Linked DNA regions of Bombyx mori. The protein of the gene in region 1 interacts with the protein of each later gene in a pairwise test. Links are inferred from orthologs where the notes say so. Each region holds a gene or a part of one and is shown on either strand. Other genes may lie near its edges.

The links.
Region 2: the proteins of Golgi to ER traffic protein 4 homolog (region 1) and ATPase ASNA1 homolog interact in binary tests that used the Homo sapiens proteins (3 or more experiments, as listed by UniProt). The link is inferred for Bombyx mori from reciprocal best matches to the Homo sapiens genes GET4 and GET3.

What each region holds. Positions count from the first base shown.
Region 1 is NC_085123.1:7,282,918-7,288,957, forward strand, and holds the end of Golgi to ER traffic protein 4 homolog, read left to right. Parts: intron 1-1,122; coding exon 1,123-1,433; intron 1,434-2,730; coding exon 2,731-2,974; 3' UTR 2,975-3,465; downstream 3,466-6,040. UniProt on the Homo sapiens protein: As part of a cytosolic protein quality control complex, the BAG6/BAT3 complex, maintains misfolded and hydrophobic patches-containing proteins in a soluble state and participates in their proper delivery to the endoplasmic reticulum or alternatively can promote their sorting to the proteasome where they undergo degradation.
Region 2 is NC_085125.1:5,275,400-5,282,312, forward strand, and holds the start of ATPase ASNA1 homolog, read right to left. Parts: upstream 4,846-6,913; 5' UTR 4,633-4,845; intron 4,424-4,632; coding exon of another isoform or gene 4,324-4,423; intron 1,907-4,323; coding exon of another isoform or gene 1,773-1,906; intron 1-1,772. Other genes in the region: dynein intermediate chain 2, ciliary, read right to left, coding at 1,773-1,906, 4,324-4,423, 5,858-6,086, 6,896-6,913.

The DNA of each region.
Region 1 (6,040 bases):
TGAAATTTTGGGCCACTGAGTTTAAATGAATGATAATTGATTTCCATGAAAGCTTGGGACATGATGCACATTGGGGACATCCAAAAAGAGCAACTATTGACAATAACATCCCTAAAATCATCAAATGGTGCTAGACAACCCCTGAATTAAAGTGAGAGAACATAGATAGTAGAGGCTATGAAAATGTCCATATGTTTTGTTCATATGAATTAGTGATGAGAAAAATAGCTGTCTGCACGTTGAGTGTCATGTATGGTCACAAAAACAAAAAAACGTGTTTGAATGTTTCCAATTCTGTTGGTGCAGTTTAGGTTTAGCAATAAATCAGAGTTTTGGTGCCAATTAATTTACTATAGATGAAACATGGATATACCATTATACATCCGAAAAACAGTGGACTGCAAAGGGGGAACCAGCTAAAAAAAAGTAAAAATTATTTTTTCCGTTGGGAAAGTGATGGTGACCGTTTTTTGGGATAGTCATAGAGTTATCTTAATCAATTTCATTAAAAAATTAAAACCATTACAGGAGCGTACTACGCATCAATACTTGACAAATAAAAAATAAAAAAAATGGTCATTTGTGCAGAAAAAGAAAATCCTATGGTGAAGACAACATGCCGTCTCAGACCTCCGTGGTTACCATAGCAAAAATCCACGAATTGCACTTTGAACTGCTGACCATCCTTATCTTGACTTTACTCAGCAAATCTAGCTCCAAGTTACTTCTTTTTGTTTCCTCATCAAAAAATTGCGCTCGGAGGACAGTTTTTTGTTATAATTATGTGGAGACAATTAATTACCTTCATGAATAATTATTTTATAGAGAAAAACGGCGTCTATTGTTTGGAAAGGATAGAGATATGCGAGCATCATTGGATGAAGAATTACAAGGCGACTTGTTGAGGCGAATATGAAAAAAAATAAAAACAAACATAAAAAAAGTCTTGTATCTGTGTTAGGTCGGAAAGTTTTCAGACCCCACTCATAAAAAACCTAAACCTTTGAATTTGTTAAAAGTGTTTATATATTTATTAGTCTAGAAAAATATTATGTGTTTATGAATTGCTAAAGATCATAGAATTAATTTTAACTAACGGACGCAAATTGTAATTGATTTTAGAAAATAGCAGAAGTATTTTGGAAGGAAAAAAAGTACACAGCTGCTCATAGACACTTTTTACACTCATCGGATGGTTCAGCATATGCTAACATGCTTATAGAGTTACACACAACTAAAGGTCTCAAATCAGAAATAGATTTGTTCATAGCACAAGCTGTGTTGCAAATACTTTGTTTGAGAAATGTAAGAATGGCAACTGAAACATTTTTGAGGTATACAGAAACACATCCCAAAATTAAGAATAGCAAAGGACCTCCATATATATTCCCACTATTGAATTTTTTGTGGTTCTTGCTGAGAGCTGTCGAACAGTAAGTTAATTTTCTTTTTATGTCATCCATAAACAGAATCTTATACATTGTGCTTAGTACGAGTTTTTTAACGTTCCCCATAGCGTAAAAGCTAACTCAAATTTGTATGGAATTGGAGCGTTTGCCTATATTTGCCGCTAGGGGCGCTGTTCCAACTGCATACAAATTTGAGTTAACTTTTACGCTATCGAGACGGTAAAAAACTTGCACTAAGCACACTGATATATGTAAGATAACTATTTCTGAAAACTTTTTGACTAAATAGAAATTTAATTATGATTTTGCACAGGAACGTAAAGTAAAAGTAAAAATCATATTATAATGCATGATGTCTATGTTTATGAATTCTGCGGGGGTTTCCACCATCTGCCTTTCCTTCTGATTGCAGGTTTATCACCTAGTATTATGTAAAAAAACGATTAGGGGGCGTCCATTAATTACGTGAGGTGTTCTAGGGGAGATGGGATCAAACTAAATCTCAATTAGGATGGAGGAGGGGGTCTTAGCGAATATCTCACTTTTTAGCAGAAAACGGTGTAAAATTGCCTGAACAATTATTTTTAGAATAAAATATGGCCAAATCAGACACCGATTTTTTTCTACCTGACACAATAGCGTTTCTCGTATTCGTCAGAACCTCACAGAGCAGGAAAGTACCGCTCGATTGTGCACTGTCGACCAGCTGTATTGACACGTGCGACTCGACGAACGCTATTTAATTTTATGATTGTTATGTTAAATTACGGTAATATTCACAAATGCTAGTCTTTGTTAGTCTTCAATGAAAGTAATAGAACAAGTAGCTATTTTTTTTCTCAATCCTATACATTTACAGCCAAAACATAAGTTTTGAAGAATCTCGTGTAAGATTAGGGGTGAGGGGAGGGAGTGGAGGAAAATCTTATGAAGTCTCACCAAGGTGGGAGGGAGGGTCGAAAGATTCACAAAACTACCTCACGTGATTAATGGACGTCCCTTTAGTAATATAGGTAGGCTATATAAAATAGTAATAATTTTATATCTATTACATTACAAAATAGCACAATTCAATTCATTTATTTGCAGATAACCTTAAAAATTAAATAATAAATCCAAGAATTCTTTGTTCACGATAGATCTTATAAAATTATATCTTGAAACAAAAAAATGATTTTATCGTGGTAAACAATTTTTTTGAAGAATTTGGTGAATTTCATAATATATTTAGCCAGTCAAAATAGCAAAATACGACTAGAAATATTAAGTATTTTAAGTTAAATAATCAATACAGTTTTTTTTAATATGTATTTAATTTCAGGAGACATGTACGACAGTTTATGGTACTAAAGAATTGGTATGCAATTAGCATTAAAAGGGATCCAAACTACTCCATTTTTTTAGACAATATAGGCCGCATTTGGTTTGGAATAGAAATACCTTCGGAAAATAGAAATCCAAACTCTATGTTCGGAGGTCTAATAAAATCTATTATTGGTGATATAGATAGTTCTGATGATGATGGTGAAAGCAAGACGTCGGCCACAGCTCCTGATTTGGACTAAGCTCTTAATTAACAGATTAATTATATTATTTTTTTACTGACATATCAGCTCAGTCAACCTTTGATAATATATTTTTATTAATTTCTAATATAATTTTGTAATTTCATAAGAAAGCTCTTTTATATTATTTTAAACTTAACTTGGAATTATTACCATTGATTTAAGAAATGGACTGTGTTTGTCATTTTATTTTTAATTAAGATGCCAATTAATTTTAATATTAATGGGGAAATTTCATAATCATTTAAGAATTTTGGTTGAGCTGCAGTAATCATGTTAGGAATAAAAAGTTGTAAAGGGTATGAAAAAAATTAAAAGTTTTGTGGTGTACCTATGTCAAGAGTGCAGTAATGTTTTAGCAACATAATTAAATTTATGGTGAATATAATTACATGTTTAGGATTTCAAATTGTTTTTCATAACGTTGCTTTTTAATTAAGTAATATATTTTGAACAGTGTTGTAAAATTAAATTTTAGATGTTGTTATGAAGTTTTATTCACATTAATTGGAATTATATTTCACAAAGTACCCACATCTCCACAATCGATATAGGTAATGTTTACTCCTGATTATGTGGGTCCGTGAGAGAAGAGGTCTCTCTTCCTAGTGGTTTCCTTCCCTATCTCTTGCTAGGTGAAGGTAGATTCATAAGGGCCGAGTCACACCGGAATAGCAGCGTCCGACATCAGCTGGCGGCGATGCCAGCGGCCTCCGGCGTCGCCGCTGGCGGCCTCGCGCGGCCTCCAGACTGCATGCGCCTAGTCTCCTCTTGACTAGATTAGTTTCTTCATTCGGCAATGATCGTGTAATAAAAATGAAACCCGCAAAATTATAATTTGTGTAAATTACTGGTGGTAGGACCTCTTGTGAGCCCGCGCAGGTAAGTACCACCGCCCTGCCTATTTCTGCCGTGAAGCAGTAATGCGTTTCGGTTTGAAGGGTGGGGCAGCCATTGTAACTATATTTGAGACCTTAGAACTTATATCTCAAGGTGGGTGGCGCATTTAGGTTGTGGATGTCTATGGGGTCCAGTAACCACTTAACACCAGGTGGACTGCGAGCTCGTCCACCCATATAAACAATAAAAAAAAAAAAAACGTATGTTTAGAGTGAACATGATGGAATTGGTTATTATATATGACCGCGGTGCCGCGAGCGGCCTCGTGTCGCCGCTAGCAGCCGCGGGCAGAACCACAGACAAGACGGACGTGGCGCGCGGCTGTGTCGCGACCTTTTGGAGCTTTGCAAGCGATACTGGTCTTATAAGTATATATAGATAAAGTTGGATGGGTTGACCAACTCAAGGAGGTGACTGGAGGCCAGATATGGGGAGCAGTACATATGGCGCAGAACCGGACCGAGTGGAGAAGATTGACATACAGTCACGATCCTCAGCATTGAGGGAACGACCAGAAAGAAGATAAAGTTTAAAATTATTTCACACGGAAAGTGCTCGCCGCGACGTTGCCATTCCGGTGTGACTCGGCCCTAACACCGGTCACTCACATGCGAACGAATACGCAAACCCGCAAGTGTAGGACGACATTTGCAAATGATTATGCAAAGTTTTCGCTGCATTCGTGGTTTTCCAAGGTGTGTCGGTTTTTTAACAGACATTAAAGCGCGCGAACCGCGATCCTTCGCGTAGTCTCCTACACATTCGTTTGCCCAGTTGCGCCAACGATTGCGAAGGTAACGGACGTATCGCCATTTTCATAGTTCGTGACGTCTACTGTGTAGCGTAACTTCATCAAAAGAAATCCCATAAAAACAGCATGAGTGGAGCATGTGAGTGGCCGGCATAAAAGTCGCATGTGAGTGGCCGGCATAAAAGTCGATTAAAGACTTTCATGACTATCTCTGACTATAATGATAGTTGTGCATCATGTTTATGGTCGTCGAGGGTGGCCACATATATTATTCATTTAGAGTATTTTCATGCGTTAATGAGTATAGACTAATGCCGGCCTAGCGGCTGTGCAAATGGGTTCGCATACTCAATTTGCGAACCCGTTTGCGCTTCCTCCTACACTTGTTTACGAATGTCTCACGAATTTCTCCTTTTTAATTCGTCAATAGAACATTGAAGAGAAAAAGTTTTTAATTCTTTCCCAGACATCATTAACAGCCATGCTGTTTTTATGGGATTTCTTTTGATGAAGATACGCTACACAGTAGACGTCACGAACTATGAAAATGGCGTATAGTATACGTCCGTTACCTTCGCAATCGTCGGCGCAACTGGGCAAGCGAATGTGTGGGAGACTACGTGAAGGTTCGAGGTTCGCGCGCTTTGATGTCTGTTAAACCGACACAGCTTGGAAAACCACGAATGCAGCGAAAACTTTGCATAATCATTCGCAAATGTCGTCCTACACTTGTGGGTTGCGTATTCGTGCGCATGTGAGTGACCGGTGTAAGTATGGGTTTCCTTCCCTATCCTTTACTAGGTGAAGATAGATTCACAAAAGTCGATTGTAGACTTCCATGACTATCTCTGTCTATAATGATAGGTGTGCATCATGTTTGTGTTTGTCGACGATGGCAACATATATTATTCTTTTAGAGTATTTTCATGCGTTAATTTCCCAGAATATAGCACACATGGTAATTTTCTATCCGATCGTTGGTAGCCTAAGTGCCTATTCCAACTATGCGCGGGTTTTTTTAGGTGAGCTCATGGGGCTCAACCTGGGAGGACTTGCTAACACTAGCTCTAGCAAGAGTAGTACTAGTAGTAGTAGTAGTGCTTCACTGAATCTACCTCGCCAAGGTTTCAAACGATCCATGAAATCAAAAACTTTGAAAAAAAAAGAGCTGTCTTTTGTATACAGTCAACTGAAAGGTAGGTATTTAGGAGCCGCATCTCAAAGATGGGCGCAGAATTATTTTTCTAGTAACTCTGCTCTATTGCTGACTCAGCGGCTAGATGCTAATTTGATATCACTTTCAATGACTCCAGTAGGGGCGCCGCGAAATGCGAATATCATTACCAATCAGGATGCGTATGTGGTGCATACGGAAACGGCATCCAGCAGCATGGTCCGCAGTTGCATCACCACTT
Region 2 (6,913 bases), on another chromosome or scaffold:
GGAAGAATGATAGCGTCCCGGCGAAGGTCTATCAGTCGCCATTTGAGATTGAAGCTATATTCAAAAATTTGCTCATACGTATACGTAAGTCCAATACGAAACTGATGTAGAAACTTTAGAGCTGCCTAAATTTAATCGATCCGCATAAATTTAGCCCATCCGTCCTTATGAGAGTTGAATTCGTCGTGGCCTAATGGATAAGACGTCCGGTGCATTCGTATCGAGCGATGCACCGGTGTTCGAATCCCGCAGGCGGGTACCAATTTTTCTAATGAAATACTACGTAACAAATGTTCACGATTGACTTTCACGGTGAAGGAATAACATTTTGTAATAAAAATCAAACCCGCAAAATTATAATTTGCGTAATTACTGGTGGTAGGACCGCTTGTGAGTCCGCACGGGCAAGGTATCACCGCCCCGCCTATTTCTGCCGTGAAGCAGGAATGCGTTTCGGTTTGAAGGGTGGGGCAGCCGTTGTAACCATATTGAGACCTTAGAACTTATATCCCAAGAAGTGTGGCGCATTTACGTTGTAGATGTCTATGGGCTCCAGTAACGAGATAACACCAGGTGGGCTGTGAGCTCGTCTACCCATCTAAGCAATAAATAAAAAAAACAATGAGATGTCCTTCTTGAAACGAGGCTTTTGGAGAGTATTAAATGGTAGGAAGCGGCTTGGCTTCCCCTGGCTTTATTGACATCCATGAGCGACGGTAACCACTTACCGTCAGGTGGGCGGTATGCTCGGCTGCCTGTAAGAGCAATAAAAATAGCGATATCTAAGTATAGGAAAAAAGAGAATTTGGGAACATTGAAATGTCCCAATATATACATGATTTTAACACGTTCAAAAGTTACTGAACTATTGATTTTAGCAATCATACGATGACTATCGCTAACGATCGACTCCAAGCCCGTATGTTTCATTCCATTTGCATAGGTATATGTGACTTACATTGTTTGTTTTGGCTATCTTTCGTTTTCTAGTGTAGGGCTTAATACATAGTAATTCTGTTAGTAAAGCCTGGCTATTATTCAGCTTGATATTTCGTAGCTACTTAGAGATACAGTTATAAAGTGTTGTAACATATTAACTCAGGTGTTCTTGTACATACTATGTATGTGTGTACGTTTTTAAATAATTAATAATATTTACTCAGCCATTACAGAAGAATTGTTGAGGTGCCGTTGAGGATATTTAAAATGAATTTTAATAAAGGCGTCTTTAATGTCGATTTCAAATGACATATTCTAACTACTTAATCGACTTAACGTAAAGATGGAAACGAGACGTACCGAGAAAACTTCACCAATATATCTAAGGCAATACAAGGCCTGGCATTATGCAGTCGGCTGGTAATAGTTTCTATGCACATATAACGGCCTGCACTCTGCACCCGGCCTGCCTCTATGCACATATAACATGCCTATTTGTGCCGTGAAGCAGTAACGCGTTTCGGTTTGAAGGGTGGGGCAACCGTTGTAACTATACTTGAGACCTTAAAACATATGTCAAGGTAGGTAGGTACCACCACTCAGCCTATTTCTGCCGTGAAGCAGTAATGCGTTTCGGTTTAAAGGGTAGGGCAGCCGTTGTATTTAAAAAACTGAGACCTTAGAACTCATATCAAAGTGAGTGGCTCATTTACGTTGTAGATGCCTATGGGCTCCAGTAACCACTTAACACCAGGTGGGCTGTGAGCTCGTCCACCCATCGAAGCAGTAGAAAAAAAAAGTCTTAGGTAAAATATATGAACATTGATACGTACTTTGTGTCGCCACATACGATCACAGGCAAACGCGTGTTGAAATCGATTCTTGTCAACTTCTTAGTCTTTTTGGAGACAACAGCTTGGACGCATATAGGCCTGTACTTGTTCACGTTCAAATCGTACACGTAAACCTGTTTTGTATCATTCAATATTAACGTTGTTGCATTTGGCTTGCGGAATGCGGAATTATCTTTGACGGCAATTTGAAATCGTCTTATTGATAAATTGCCCTTAACAGCTACGACATGCCCACTGCTAAATAAAACTGGGCAGTCTTTTAAATTTTTACGTTATAAAGTGATTTACAATTCAAAGGAAAGCAATTGAATTAATATTATATAAAATATAAACTTGGTCAGTGAAAACGGTATTGCTGAAATGTAATAAAAAACAAAAATCTTCACGATATAGTTAATAATATACTTGTTAAAAACACAAAGTCGAGTAGTTTTTTTTTATGAGTGAACGATTACTGGTGGCCCTGAGGTCTTTCCAGTTTCACCAGGACCGGTGGGCGAGCAAAGGGTCAGCCAGGAGGGGTGGGATTTGCTAACAGCTGCCCGAGCGCCTGCGAAGGGGACCTAGAACTCAAGAGCAGTTGCTTCGCGAATGAATCTACTCGCGAATGAAGCGATTTCGATCCGATGACAGATACTGCGAAGCACTACGCTTGCTAGGACAGATGTAAGCAATTTTTTTTCAGACAGAGCCCCCTGAAATGGCTCACCAGTCAACGTGGAGCCAGAATAGCCCCTCGATACTACTGATAGATGACTCTTAAATAAAGAGCTACACGTGCCATATTCGTCTGTTTACTATTTTGAGAGGCTCATTTAACTTCTGTAATTGTGCAAATCTTTTTTTCACGTTTAGCAACTTAGTTTTAATATTCAATTAGCATTTATTGTGTTATCACTGTTTAGCATTAACAATTCCGAAATTACCAATGTTAGCATAAACATGTAAACCAATGTGGCTACTTATGTCGGATCTACTAATAAAAAAATAACGACCCCAAAATAACTTTTTTGTACAAAAACTAAATTTAAGTTAGTAAAAAGGTTTTACAGTTATTTCAAACTAGTCAAAATTGACTATATTTAAATAAATTGTATGCACCAATTTCTTGAAACTATACGCTTGTGCCACCTACCATAATTACTGGCAGAAACCTTTTCTCAAGCGAGTGTTTTCTCAATTAGCTGTATCAAGTTATTAGCTTTTTCCTGCGACTTCGTCCGCGTGGAATAGTTATTTTGGCATAACGCTAAATTTTACCCGCCTCCTCATTTACGTAGAGAGTGAAAATATTTTTGAATAATAGAATGTTAAGGAGCTATTTAAGGTACAAAAATCACGCTTTTTAACCAACTTCAAAAGAGGAAGTTTTCAATTCGACCACAATTTTTTATCTATGTATGTCCACCGATTTCTCAAGCATGCTTGAACCGATTCTGATACTCCTTTTTTTTTTAAAACTAAATTGTATCTCATAGAACTATCGTAGTTCGCTCATCGCACTCTATTAATTCCAATTCACTCTAAGCTCGTCGTAATTGACGAGGACGGTAACCGGTGCTTGAAGGTACTTGAATAAACATTCAGTCAGCATTTGTACAGGTCACTAGTCAAACCCGGCCCGATTAGCTTGACGATCTTTGGTTTAAATTTGAGCAGATCAGCTGATTAAGCTTCATAGTATCATCCGCTTGCCCAATCTAAAGATTTCTTGAAAAGTTCATCTAAATCTATCCAGCCGTTACGCAGTCATTAGAGCAAATACATACACACATTTACTTTTATATATCATTTGGTAATTCAAATCTTAAAAAGAAATCTCTGTCAACCGATGCCTATCTGTAGATTGGATTTAGTTTTATCTACACAAAAGTAATAATTGAAAACAATTTTTTTACTTCAAAAATTTATAACAAAACACCAGATAAGACGTACTGCACAAAATGAATTTAAGTTTTGAAGCATTAGTGATTAAGGTCGAATTTCGATAATTGCGTTTAGAGAACACTCATCATTATTCTATACATTGTTAGTTAGTTAACAAGTCCTCTCAGGTTGAGCCCCGTGAGCTCACCTATCCGTTCGTGCATAGTTCGAATAGCCCCTTAGGCTACCAAAGATTAGTTAGGGAATATTACAAATAAGCTTCATGAAGGGCTTTTTACTGGTGGTAGTACCTCTTGTGAGTCCGCACGGGTCGGTACCACCACCCTGCCTATTTCTGCCGTGAAGCAGTAATGTGTTTCGGTTTGAAGGGTGGGGCAGCCGTTGTAACTATACTGAGACCTTAGAATTCATATCTCAAGGTGGGTGGAGCATTCACGTTATAGATGTTTATGGGCTCCAGTAATCACTTAACACCAGGTGGGCTGTGAGCTCGTCCACCCATCTAAGCAATAAAAAACAAAAAAAGCTAAGGATCGCAGCAGATGGAGGGAAATGGTACGGGAGAAACTGATGCAGCGGGGGAGTCACGACCCTCAGTAATGAGGAAAACGACACGAGGAGGAGGATAATAAATTAAATATACCTTTCCATCAGCCGTGCAAGCGGCAAACACAGTGCTTGAATACGGTGCCCATTTTACGTCGCCCACCGCCGCGCCCAGTTCAAACATAAACAACGGCTCCCTATTAACAAAAACACAACAATACTGCACAACTATTTCAGCGTAATGTAATAGTTTAAAAAAACGAACAAAATACGCTTTTATAGAAAATCCAATTTGGTGACGCAGGTGAGCGTCACCTTAAACGTGAGCTGATGAGCTGAAAGGGGGCATATGAACTCTGCGGAGAATGAGCGGACACGAAAGGGTAGGTAGGAAAACGGGACTTACTTGGAGGCTGATGCTGGCATTATCACGGTCGTAGTGGTGTTCCTCTGCGATGGGTGGCACATACACCCTTTCACCGGTTCACACTCAACCTTTTACTTAGCAACGAAAGGCGCGCGCGCACAATTTTCTCAATATCGAACGAGCGTATCTCCGCGTGCCGTCATGTACCGCACTGTTATGAGAGGTGCGGGGTGCGTACGGGCGACGGCACCCGAGTTGAGCCGAACATTTATGAACGTCGCGCTGTCGCGCGAACACAATTAAAAAATAGAAAATAAATTTGAATTAAAAATAGTATAATATTATTCATAGAATATTTATAAGTACTTACACCATGAACCCCACGCTTTTTTTTACTTTTATAGAAAATCCAATTTGGTGACGCAGGTGAGCGTCACCTTAAACGTGAGCTGATGAGCTGAAAGGGGGCATATGAACTCTGCGGAGAATGAGCGGACACGAAAGGGTAGGTAGGAAAACGGGACTTACTTGGAGGCTGATGCTGGCATTATCACGGTCGTAGTGGTGTTCCTCTGCGATGGGTGGCACATACACCCTTTCACCGGTTCACACTCAACCTTTTACTTAGCAACGAAAGGCGCGCGCGCACAATTTTCTCAATATCGAACGAGCGTATCTCCGCGTGCCGTCATGTACCGCACTGTTATGAGAGGTGCGGGGTGCGTACGGGCGACGGCACCCGAGTTGAGCCGAACATTTATGAACGTCGCGCTGTCGCGCGAACACAATTAAAAAATAGAAAATAAATTTGAATTAAAAATAGTATAATATTATTCATAGAATATTTATAAGTACTTACACCATGAACCCCACGCTTTTTTTTACAATAAAATCATTTTTTCTTAGACTATTTTTAATTCAAATTTATTTTCAATTTTTTAGTTGGATTTTCTATAAAAGCGTATTTTGTTAGTTTTTTTAAACTATTATTTCATTTTTAGTTGAATTTTTCAGTTTTTTCAAATTTTATTTTTAAATTTTTTTGTAATATTGTATTGTCATCGGTCCTTAATAAGTATACCAAATTTTGAGTTAATCCGACGTTTTGAAGGGGGTCAAAATCATGTTCAAAGTTCCGTTACAAATATACATACCTACATACATACATACATACGTCTGAAGCTAATAAGAGCGTATTAAAAACTAATCTAATTCATTCTATTACATAGCAATGGTTAGAAACCATATTTCCAAATACACTCACTCTCTTCCGTCTTCCCAAATTTTGACCCTCCAGTCACCCGAGCATGACGCATAGATACTGTTATTAAAGTAGTTATAGTTGATCCTGTAGACCGGCATGTGGTGTCCTTGAACCGATCGCACATAGTTCCGGTTGTATTTGAGGGAGCAAGTGTGGATCATGCCGTCTTCGGTACCCACCATGAAGATATCCGGCTTCTCTGGGTGAAAACATATGCAGCTACCGCAGCCTGGGTGGGAATTAGTAAATGTCTCCTTTAAATGGTATGATAATCGATAGAATGAAAAATACCAACGGTTTTGAGACAAAGAGACGTACAAACTTAACTGGCTTAAATATTAGAGTCCTTCTAGGCGCAATGAATTTGTTGTCCGAACGGGTCCTATTGGTAAATAGTAACTTGGTTATAACCCTGTCATTACTGATGAGCCCACGAGTAGCAGTGATTATTCGCCATTAGATGAAGCATTTGTCTCTGAAGGTAAGGTATAAAAGTTGTGAGAAGTCGTCGTGGCCTAAAGAAGTTGTCGTGGTCTAAAGGATAAGATGTCCGATGCATTCGTGTTGAGCGATATATTGGTGTTAGAATCCCAGGCGGGTACCAATTTTTCTAATGAAATACGTACTCAACAAATGTTCACGATTGACTTCCACGGTGAAGGAATAACATGATGTAATAAAAATCAAACCCGCAAAATTATAATTTGCATAATTATTGGTGGTAGGACCTCTTGTGAGTCCGTGCGGGTAGGTACCACCACCCTGCCTATTTCTGCATAGGCATTAGATGATGAAGCCATGAAGCAGTAATGCGTTTCGGTTCGAAGGGTGGGGCCGTTGTAACTATAATTGAAACCTTAGAACATATCTCAAGGTGGGTGGTAGTGGTGGTGGGTGGGCTCCAGTATGCACTTCACAACAGGTGGGCTGTGAGCTCATCCACCCAGCTAAGCAATAAATAAATAAACGTTGAATACCAATTGTATCCAAATGTAAGTTTGTAAGGCTATTAAATCGATTTAAAGTGACACGGCTTACTGTTAACGTTGATCATGG